Drosophila melanogaster: one gene and its partner. The protein of the gene in region 2 interacts with the protein of the main gene of each other region in a pairwise test. Each region holds a gene or a part of one and is shown on either strand. Other genes may lie near its edges. The genes, in order: Traf-like and CG5674.

The links.
Region 1: the proteins of CG5674 (region 2) and Traf-like interact in a two-hybrid assay, tested with the Drosophila melanogaster proteins (2 studies listed by BioGRID).

Annotation. Positions count from the first base shown.
Region 1 is NC_004354.4:16,413,209-16,418,148, reverse strand, and holds Traf-like (TNF-receptor-associated factor-like), read right to left. Parts: upstream 3,104-4,940; 5' UTR 2,726-3,103; coding exon 2,564-2,725; coding exon of another isoform or gene 2,493-2,563; coding exon 2,064-2,492; intron 1,995-2,063; coding exon 1,586-1,994; intron 1,531-1,585; coding exon 1,415-1,530; intron 1,355-1,414; coding exon 1,046-1,354; 3' UTR 564-1,045; downstream 1-563. Other genes in the region: AnxB11 (annexin B11), read left to right, coding at 1-68, 125-193, 254-319; CG4301 (uncharacterized protein), read right to left, coding at 3,849-4,062, 4,129-4,455, 4,520-4,940.
Region 2 is NT_033779.5:17,961,171-17,966,378, reverse strand, and holds the start of CG5674 (uncharacterized protein), read right to left. Parts: upstream 3,001-5,208; 5' UTR 2,834-3,000; coding exon 2,774-2,833; intron 2,236-2,773; coding exon of another isoform or gene 1,930-2,235; intron 1,871-1,929; coding exon of another isoform or gene 492-1,870; intron 431-491; coding exon of another isoform or gene 1-430. Other genes in the region: btv (beethoven), read left to right, coding at 1-430, 492-1,870, 1,930-2,235, 3,363-3,644.

The DNA of each region.
Region 1 (4,940 bases), on a different chromosome or scaffold from region 2:
ACAAGGCGATGGCCGGAATTGGCACCAATGACACCCAGTTGATCCGTGTGATCATCACGCGCAGCGAGGTAAGTACATCTATATATAATATCATTCAACCCTAAAATGTTGCAACGTTTTTCAGATTGATATGACGGACATTAAGGTAGCGTTCGAACGTCTGTACGGCAAGTCCCTCAAGAGCTGGATCAAGGTAAGATATATATATCTATCTATATCTATATTCTATAATCATATAAAATCCTACTTGCAGGGCGATACTTCGGGCCACTACAAGCACGCCCTTTATGCCCTGGTGGGTGAACAGCGCTCCTCTTAAGAATCTCCGCATATACATATATATGTATTATTCAAACCAAATCCGACGTGAAATCAATTATTCGAATATGTATTATCTCTTCTATGTATTCGTTCATTTAAATGCATACAACATACAAGAACACGCCAACGAAGCCAGACAATTATGATCCACAACGTAGACTATAAGTGCACACAAATAATACCTGAACGGGATCAGACATTTGATACCTCTTTCAAAGAAATGAACATGGGAACCGACAGTTGACAAGTGTTGAAGTTGTATTTTATTAAAAGACCTTTGTATTTAAATGCGTTCGTAAAGACAAATAATATGGAAGTTCCTCTCAAAAATCGCTTGTTAATTTGCTCGAAATGAAAAACCAAAAAATGAAAGAGTTGCTTATATCTTGACAAAGTGACCAGGGAAATGTTGCAATAAAAGCTATGCTTTCTAACTACCGACTTCGTCTCGACAGTGCCTCAATGTGACTATTGCCTAATTTGAAAAAAAGCATTTAAAACTGCAATGACATTTAAAACTACAATATACGCATATTGAAACGATGAATCGATTCGTATGCACTTATACACTATATATGTACACATACTCGTGTTTGTAAGCGGGTTTTTAACTTCCAGTTCGCTCTCAATGGAATAAATTATGTTTTATGTATGTGACAATCCGCAATTGGATTTTTTTTTTCTTATCGCTCCTGGTGGGTGGGATAGCGATGCTGCATGGGTTTTATTTTAGAACTCGAACCTCGATGAACATGGAATCGTTGCGAAGATAGTTGCGACTGGTGATTACCTTGTGTGGTATATGGAAGTACTGGTTGCTTTGGATAAAATCATCGCTCTTCTTGCGCACAAAGATGGTCTTCACATAATCCTCGGCATCTGCCACATTCGTGCACTGATCCCGGATGATGATCTCGGCCTGAAGGCGGCATGGCCAGGCCAGAAGGGGATCGTACTCTCCGGATAGAACGTTCAAGCAGGCGATCATGTTCCTGCCCTTCCAGGTGCCCTTGCCATTCAAGTATATATCCAGCTAGTAATGGGGTATACATATATAAATGGCATATCCAACCAAGATCCAACCTCAACTCACCCGTAGAGCATAGCCAAAGGCTTTATTGGAGAACATGGCGCTATGGAGGATGGTGTCGTACTGCTTGGACTCTTCCAGTTTTTTCGAGTAATCCTTGATGCGCCAAATCAAGTGTCCTGTACGACCAGATATTATATATTTAAATTACTATATTGAACCAACAATATGTACCCCTTATATTCTGGACACTGGCAATCCGCTGCTGCATGGCCATTTGGGTCTCCAAATCCGATATATTCTGCATGGTCTGGTGAAGTGCTCGATCCAATTTATCGCAACGTTCCTCCGTTTCGCACACAATGTTCTTCACATTCTTCACCTCATAGTCCAATGTGGCCTGCTTTGACGTCACATAGTCACTGTTGCCCAGCTTTGTTTTGATGTCCTCATTGATCTGCTGCAGAAACTCCTCGATCTGAAAGAACTTCTCCCTGTTGAGCCGCTCGTTCTCAAAGATCAGCTCCTCCAGCTTTAGGATATTGTCGTTTAGCTGATTCTGGTGATAGGTCACGTCCGCCGAGAGCTGATTGACCAGCTTTTGGGCCTCATCCAGCCTGGACTCCACTTGCTCTTTCAAGGACTTCGACGGAGATATGCACATTAAAGATAGATAGTATATATATATTTAAATAAAGTAGCATTAACTAACCTGTGTGATATCACAGCAGTACTGGACATCCAGCTGGTTCTGTTCGATGGCGAATGCCTTCCGATTGGTTTCCTCCTCCATCTGGCGACGCAGATCGTCCATTGCCTTCTCGGTTTCGCGGGTCCAGTCCTCGACGACCTGGTTCTGCTTCCGTATGTTGCCCACATCGGTAATGAGATGCAAACGCTGTCGTATCTCCTCGTTGAGAACGGACCGAATGGTGCCCACGTCCTGTTCAATGACCAGGAGACGCTGATCCGACTGCCTATCCAGGCGATCCATGCTGACACTCATGCGTTGCTGATTGCTCAGATTGTGCTGGTTGCGTGGACACTCCTTCAGATGGGATCGCATACGGATGCGTGGAATGAAGGCCTGACAGCCGTTGGGACACTCCTCCAGCACCTGGCCGCAGTGGATCAGGTGTTCCTGCAGTCGCATCCAAAGAGGAGTAATGTAATAGTAATCAAAGGTGAACTGAAAAGTTGGACGATTATAACCGTGAATGTCTGGGCATCGAACCATTCGTTGCAGAAGAGGCACGACGACTTCTCATACTTGACTATGGTCGTCGATTTGGGCTGATTCTGATTCTCATTCTGATTCTGATACTGATTCTGCTCGGTTAGATCCTTTCTCGACGACGACTTGGTCAGTGACATTATATTGATTAAAGGAAAGCAAATTCGATTGAAACTTTGGATCAGCAAATTCTCTGGCGCTGCGAGCACCGCCCTATGCACACTAAACTCAGCCAAAAATGATTAAGAATTTCCTTGGGCATAGTCATACGCGGCGCACACAGACATGGTTTAGATATAGCTTTGCACATGTGTTAGCATTAGGGCGTCCATGGGAATCTATACGACAACCTCGAACTGATAGCACTGCCATTTGGTGCGATTACCACTATTTCGAAATGCGAGAGCAACCAACGAATCGTATTGACCACTAACTTGGCGAACTACGACCAGGAAAACACAGCCACCGAGAATCCACTAAAATCGTAACCGTCACCAGATCTTCCAGCGACTATATGGCCACATATGTACCTGCAAAATGTTCATATCTCTAGCTCCCCTTGTACAAACATATTCGGAATGCGAGTGGAGATAACATTATCAATGAAAAACGGGCTTCACAATCAAAACTTTGTCCATTGCCTCGGCAATGCAAATGGTAACGACGCCATCAACTAGATAACAATGTGGTGGGCGGCAGTGATCGTGGGCGTGGCAGTGGGTATGGCCGAACCAACAGGTGCCCTACGTACACATATGTGGATCGGGATTGAAGTACATTTACTGACTCGCCGCCCTACTTTATGGTATCAAAAGTGGGGCAACGGCTAAACTGTGATAAAAACGGGCTATATACTTTCGTATATATTTTTAAACAATATCCGATGTAGGAAAAATATTAAATAAATCCTTTATTAATTAGATGTTTGTATCGTGTAGCTGTATTGAAACCCAGCATTTTCGTAAACGAACCATTTTTCCAAGTGTAGTTGCACTTGCTCTCAATAAGTCGCCGAGATTATGATAAAAATGTTATCAGCCTAAAATGTCGTACTTCCCAGTTGATTGCGAGTGTTAGCATACGATTTCAAGGTTCTCCATTTGGGAAGTTGAGATACTTTCCTACCTCTAAGGTGGTGGTCAGAAATCAAATCTATTGTTCAAACGTTTAACAAAAATTTGTTTATCTAACAAAAAAAAAAAAAATTGTATACATGAGGAAATAAATAAATTAGGGGTATAAAAACTATAGCCTAATCGACGATTACAAGTATGTGGACTCAAACTTCTCGCGCATCTTAAGTTTCCGTTGTTTTCCGGGAAAAATGCTGAAACTCTTTATGTTGAGCGCCCTCTGGAGCATTCGGATGGTATAGTCGGGTACCAGGCAGGCCACACAGGTCACTATGATCCACAGCCAGACTGGCAGTGAGGCCAACAGATTGTTGTAGGCCCAGTAGATGTCGGTGTCGTAGTCCCTGCAAATAATACATATACATATTAGTTTAAACCTTAAATGGATACATTCGTAGCCATGAACTCACAGATTGATAACGTTGTAGATAACCGTTGTGACTACAAAGCCCAAAATGGAAATGATAATGGTGAATATATACCAAAAGGACAGATACATTGACTCGAGCCAGAGCTTAAGGTTCACGACCACCACCACCGTCCACATGAGGAGGGTGCCGAAGCAGGAGAAGGCCACCGTCTGTCCGTAGTTCAGGAGAACGTTGTTGTAGTAGAAGAAGCAGAAGGCGAAGTAGAATATGATGACACTGTGGTAGATCGCAAATAGGACCCACATCAGGAAGTACGGCCAGTGGAGCTGCTTGTTGTCCGTGTTCTTCTTGTAAAGCTGTGGCGTTCTGTTCAAGTTGCATTTTTAGTAACATCAACATTATACATATAAACGATTGAACCCACTGTTACCTCATCAACTTCTCCTCGGTGTATGGCTTCTCGGAGATAGCTATGAACAAAATGGGCAGCGAGGTGTATATCACATTGTACAAGGTAAGGAATAGCGAATCGTAGACGGAGGATGAGGAGAACAGCGTGTGAAACTGGAACAGGAACATGATGCCCATAAAGACGATGTTCTTGTAGAAGAAGTACAGCACCAGCAGGGACAGTCGGACACTGTGATAGTGTCCATGGACGAGAAGCAATCTCTTGAGCATGCAAAACTTGGCGAAGGCAAAATCGGCGCATCGTGCCGCCTGCCTGCCCTCGCGTCCCATGATGCCGATGCCCACGTGAGCCTCCTGGATCATCGACACATCATTGGCGCCATCGCCAATGGAGGCCGTGTTGTAGTTCTCATTGGATGACTTGATCAATGACACCACTT
Region 2 (5,208 bases):
GCAGGCCTCATCCAGGGCTATGAATTATCCCCTCTTGTTTACATTGAACTATTTTTGGGGGCTCTTTCCAAAAGTCAACGAGATGAGTCCAAGGTCTATGATTGTCTTGTACGAAGTGTTTATATGAATTTAGCTAGAGCTACTTCTAGAGATAGCCAGCTATCCTTATCCTTGTGGGTTTGTCATCAGGCATATCCCGATAGATTAAACCCCAAGGAGTGGGAGCTGTTTGTGAACAATTTCATGGGTAGTTCTGATGGCAGTATGGTGCTAAGTCAGCTTGGAAAACTGCCCGACTGCATGCCCAAGGAAGCGCAATTAAAGCTGGCTATGTTACTCCAATTGTTCCCAGATTTGCGAAGCAAGCTCCAGTTGGAGAAGGACTATATCTGGCGCGGATTCATTGAGGCTCAAGCGGATGATGTGCTACGTAAGTTGTAGAAATAATTTAGTTAATTTCATCTTATTCAGATTTATTTTCGAACTTACAGCTGCGTTGGGGTCCAGCTTCCAGCGTGTGCTTATTGCTCAGATTTTCCGACCCGACTTGATGCTTCACCAACTGCGAAAAGTGAGTAGCGATCTGCTGGGAATTTCCCCAGATGCCTCCACCCAACCTTCTGTGGAGCAGTTGCTGCAGCAGAGCAGCTGTGATCGCCCGATTTTGATGGTTAGTCATGCGGAAAATGATCCAACAACTGAATTGAGAAAGTGGGCCAATCAAAAGTATAGAGAAATGGCTATTGGAAAAGGTGTTGAGAAAAGAGTTCTCTCCGAAATGCGTCAGGCTGCCATAGATGGCCACTGGTTATGCGTTAAGAATGTCCATTTGGTGCCGGAATTTCTAACTCAAATGGAAAGGGAATTAAGTGAAATTCAAAAATCGAAAGACTTTCGATTGTGGCTATTGTGCGAATCAACCGAGGGATTTTCCGAAGCTGCCATTTATAAATGCCTTAAAGTACGTTATGAGCAGCCTAAGGGACTAAAGCAGATTGTGATGCGTTTGCTCCAGAACTTCGCTGCTGAACAGGATCAAAAGCTTAAAAACCAACCAAAGAGCCTCAAGATGAGACTGGTTTATTTTGTCCTAACAGCTGTGCTTCAACAAAGGCGACAGTTTATACCACAAGGTTGGTCAAAATACTATGAATTCGGTGAGGCAGATCTAAAAGCGGCTCTGGGTATCCTAAGAATGATGGATCAGCAACTTAATTCAGGAAAATGCGATTGGTTGCTGATGCAACGTCTCAGTGAAGCCCTCGCTTATGGCGGAAGAGTAAATAATCAGAGGGATCTGGAGATACTCACAACCTATCTGAACCAGTTTTGTTCAGCGGACGTCTTAAGCAATCGTTGGTCACCTCTTGGATTATCTCTATCCATACCAACTAGCGGTCAACTGCAGGACTACTACGCTGCATTGGAGAAACTTCCTGACACAGATGAGCCCAGTATGTATGGTTTGGCCAATCAGGCACAACAGCAACGCGAAATTGAACAGGCCAAAAGAGTGATAAAGGAACTCAGGGGATTGCATTACGGAAGAGGCTTGGCTAAGGATTCTGGAGGAGCAGGAGAGTCTAAGGGAAACGATCAGCTCACTGGTCGTCAGAAGCTGGAACAGCAAATTAAACCCCTACTGAATCTATGGAGAAAGTTGGCGGCTTCGTGTACCATAATCCAGACTATGAAGGAGGCAAAAACTGATGTGGGTGAATCTCCCTGGGCACTTTTTGTGCTGGCTGAACTGAAACTAGGGGCGGATCTCTACGGCATAGTTCACCAGACTTTGTCGCAGATGCATGCCTGGCTTAAGGAGTCGCAGGAGGTGGATGGCAGCACTCTGAGAACTCTGGCAGAACAGCAGGTAAGAAACTGGGGTACAGTAACGTAACTTGAAAATGCATAATAAACTGAAATTCATAGATTCCTGCCAGTTGGCTTAAACTATGGCCTGGACCTGGCAGCAACAGTGCCGTGGACTTTTTAAGAGCCCTAATCGTTCGAGCCCAGGCTGCCGAACTTCGATTCCGGGAGCAAATGCATCTGGATTTTGTAGAGGATATCAATTTCGTCCAGGTGTTTAACTGTGAGAACCTGTTGTCCTGTTTAAAGCTGCTGCAGTCTCGAAAACTGGCAGTTTCCACCGAACGCCTGGAGTTGCAAACTTGCGGCTCCTCAAACTTGGAAAGTGATTCTTCGGACATAATACTCAAGCTGGCGCCGCTAAAGGTGAGTAAGAATTAGTATCTTTAACCGATAATGTTTTGACATCAAGTTGTGAAATCAAATTCAGCAAGCCACTTACTCATGATTCAAGGGGTTATGTCTTCTATGTCTTCTTCTTTAGCGACTAAGAATATATTTCGAAGCCATAAAAGGAAATTTAACTAATCGCAGGATAATCAGCCAAGAAATTGCCATAACTATAATATTCGCGGTAGATGGCGCATTGGTTAAGTTGGGGATAACCATTAAATATCATAAGCCCTCGAGAAGCGTTACAGTAAATACAATAAACATTGAGAAATAATTTTGGGATACATTTTGCCAGGTTGCTATATCAGATACAATTGGATGCACACGTAGTAGTAGTAACAGTAACAATACTCTGTTACGGATTACCTGGATAGTAGATATGCATACATCCATAGTCCAAATTGATTCCCCCAATCCAAAATCCCAAAAGATACTTATTTATCTTTTGGGACGAAGACTGATGACATCTTCTCTCCCTCTTGCCCGTTTGCTTCTTGTCTTTGTTCCTCACCTTCCCCATTTTGGCCATAAAATGTGTCTCCATCGCCGTCTCCATTCTGGCCGTTTCCATAGCTTCCGTATCCGTAATCCTGCGCCTCCTGTTTTCGGTGCGCCGCCGCCGTTCAATGCATCGAAATTAAGCTTGAAATGTGCACTGGATGCCCGTTCTTTTCAGTTTTCTCACGCCGCTTTTTTTGTTTTCATTTGATTGACATTCCGGTACAAGAGGGGGAATTAGAGATGGCACCTTGTCCGATGCCTATCGATAAGCAGTTCTGAGCACAAACTTACATTTTACTTTCCCTTCTCGTTTGTATATCTACGTATTCGATGCCAATCGATAATCGGTTTGGAAGCTGACTATGGGGAGTGCATCCGCTATGCCCTGATGGGTGTACCTGCTAGAACTAACACTGTAAAAAAACAAATAACTATTTTTTTGTATATACATTTTAGGACTTGGAGAATAAACTTTGCAAATCATCTACCCGCTTTTCGCCTTTTTTTTTGTTTTTAGCAATTGTGAATATATGTAATGTGGAATATATCTAAGTATTTCATTAGTAACTAAACTTGGCACTATTCATTTTCCATTACAGATTGATGGCGCCCAGAGTGGAATGGGAAAATCGAACCCCTTCTACATCAAGTACAAAATAAAAGACGAAGTACAAAATGTCAGTCATACGACTACTAGTTCCTCAAAATACGGCAAAAATTCGCTATATTCCACGCAAAATGCTGAATCGAAGCCCAAACTCCCATTATATTCTCGGAGCAGTCGCGACAAATTGATTTGCCACCTAAATGTTGATATTGTGACCGGAACTGCGGAACAAATTCTCTTGGCCGGAACAGCGCTAATAGTCGAAGATTATTAAACACCACTCAATATTATTTTATACCAATATATTTCAAATATATATGTAGAGAAGCGAAGAATGTGTTGGACTGACACTTGAATAGCAATTCACCTTCGCAAATATTAAATAAAAACCAAACGAAACTCTTTTAACATTAGTTTCCTACCCTTGACACGCTGTCATTTGGGTCCCAACTAATTCTAAGTAAATATTTAAACAACTAACAATTAGGCAGCCAAAGGCAAACATAAAAATGGGCCATTAAACATTTAAGGCGAGGACTTAGACTCTGAAGAGCTAATTGATTTCCATATGTCTCAGTGTCTGTGTTTATTCGGGGATGCCCCTAAAAATTAATTTGCCACCGCCGAAGGGATTTTATTGCGTCCTGTGTCCCTCATAATCTGCTCATATTAAACTAATTGCCGTAAATTTCAACAACAAACTGCCATAAATGTCGGGCATACTTTTAGTTGCCAAGACATCCCCGACATCCCCCAGGCCCAAAACCATTTTACCGTCAAAAACTTGTCTTAACTTTAATTAAGTGGCATTATGTTCAATTAGGCAAAAGTTTCCAATATGCAAATTAACACAATTTGAGTGTAAAGTGCCTCCCGGTACCGAGAAGGGGGCGTGGCAGCCGGCTTCTGTGGCATATAAATTGCCCTCCGCACAAATCACAGTGCCTCGTATCGGTGGGCGTGGCAGTTTGTTAACACATTTTGCAAATTTAGCTATGCAGACTTCTCAGATTTTGTTGTACGCCTTTCCCAACTTGTTGTGCTGTCGGCTATTGAGAATAAATAATTTATTACGCTTCAAATGGAAATTTAGTTGCGGATTAAGGAATTAGGCAGCGCGATAAGGCTGAAAAGGTAATTGAGTAAGGATATAAAGTGAATGTGTATATCAAAAGATACATAAACTCCGCTCCGAACTTCAAATCCAATTAGCTACAAGGAAGAACAGTTTAAAGACCTCCTTCTTATGCATTTAGGCTACATAAAGATCAATTTCCAAAATATTCCCAAGCCGCAACCACATTAATGAGGCCCTTAAACTATTTCACCCGCCGCAATGCTGGATTACCAACTTAACCAAATAGTTCATCGCATTTAATGTTAAAAGCTTGTGGTTTTGGTTGATTCCAATTCGCATTGAATAATCCCCACAAAGTTGCAGCTTAATTATGTGCCCGCCCCAAAATCCCCAAAAACTTGCATTGCCGATTAAATTTTGAATGTCTAATTTGCAGTTGATGGGCAGGCGAATCCGTACTTTACACTCAAATGCACAAATTGATATCCTCCTTTGGCTTCTTCAGTGTTTAGTGTTTGACAAATGTCGGGGCCAAGCGGCCACATCCTTGTAATCCTTGCCAGCCTACAAGCAACGGCGTCGCCATCTAATTGCAGCCGCCTTCAATGAGCTGGGATTAGAAATTAATTAAAGTATAAGGCTAATGTGACATCTGCATGTGTTTGCCGCCCATTTCCTGGTACATACACACGAATATGTCCCCACATCTGCCATAAATGTAAGCCCACCAAATGTGATTAATCAGTTTGCACTCATGCCG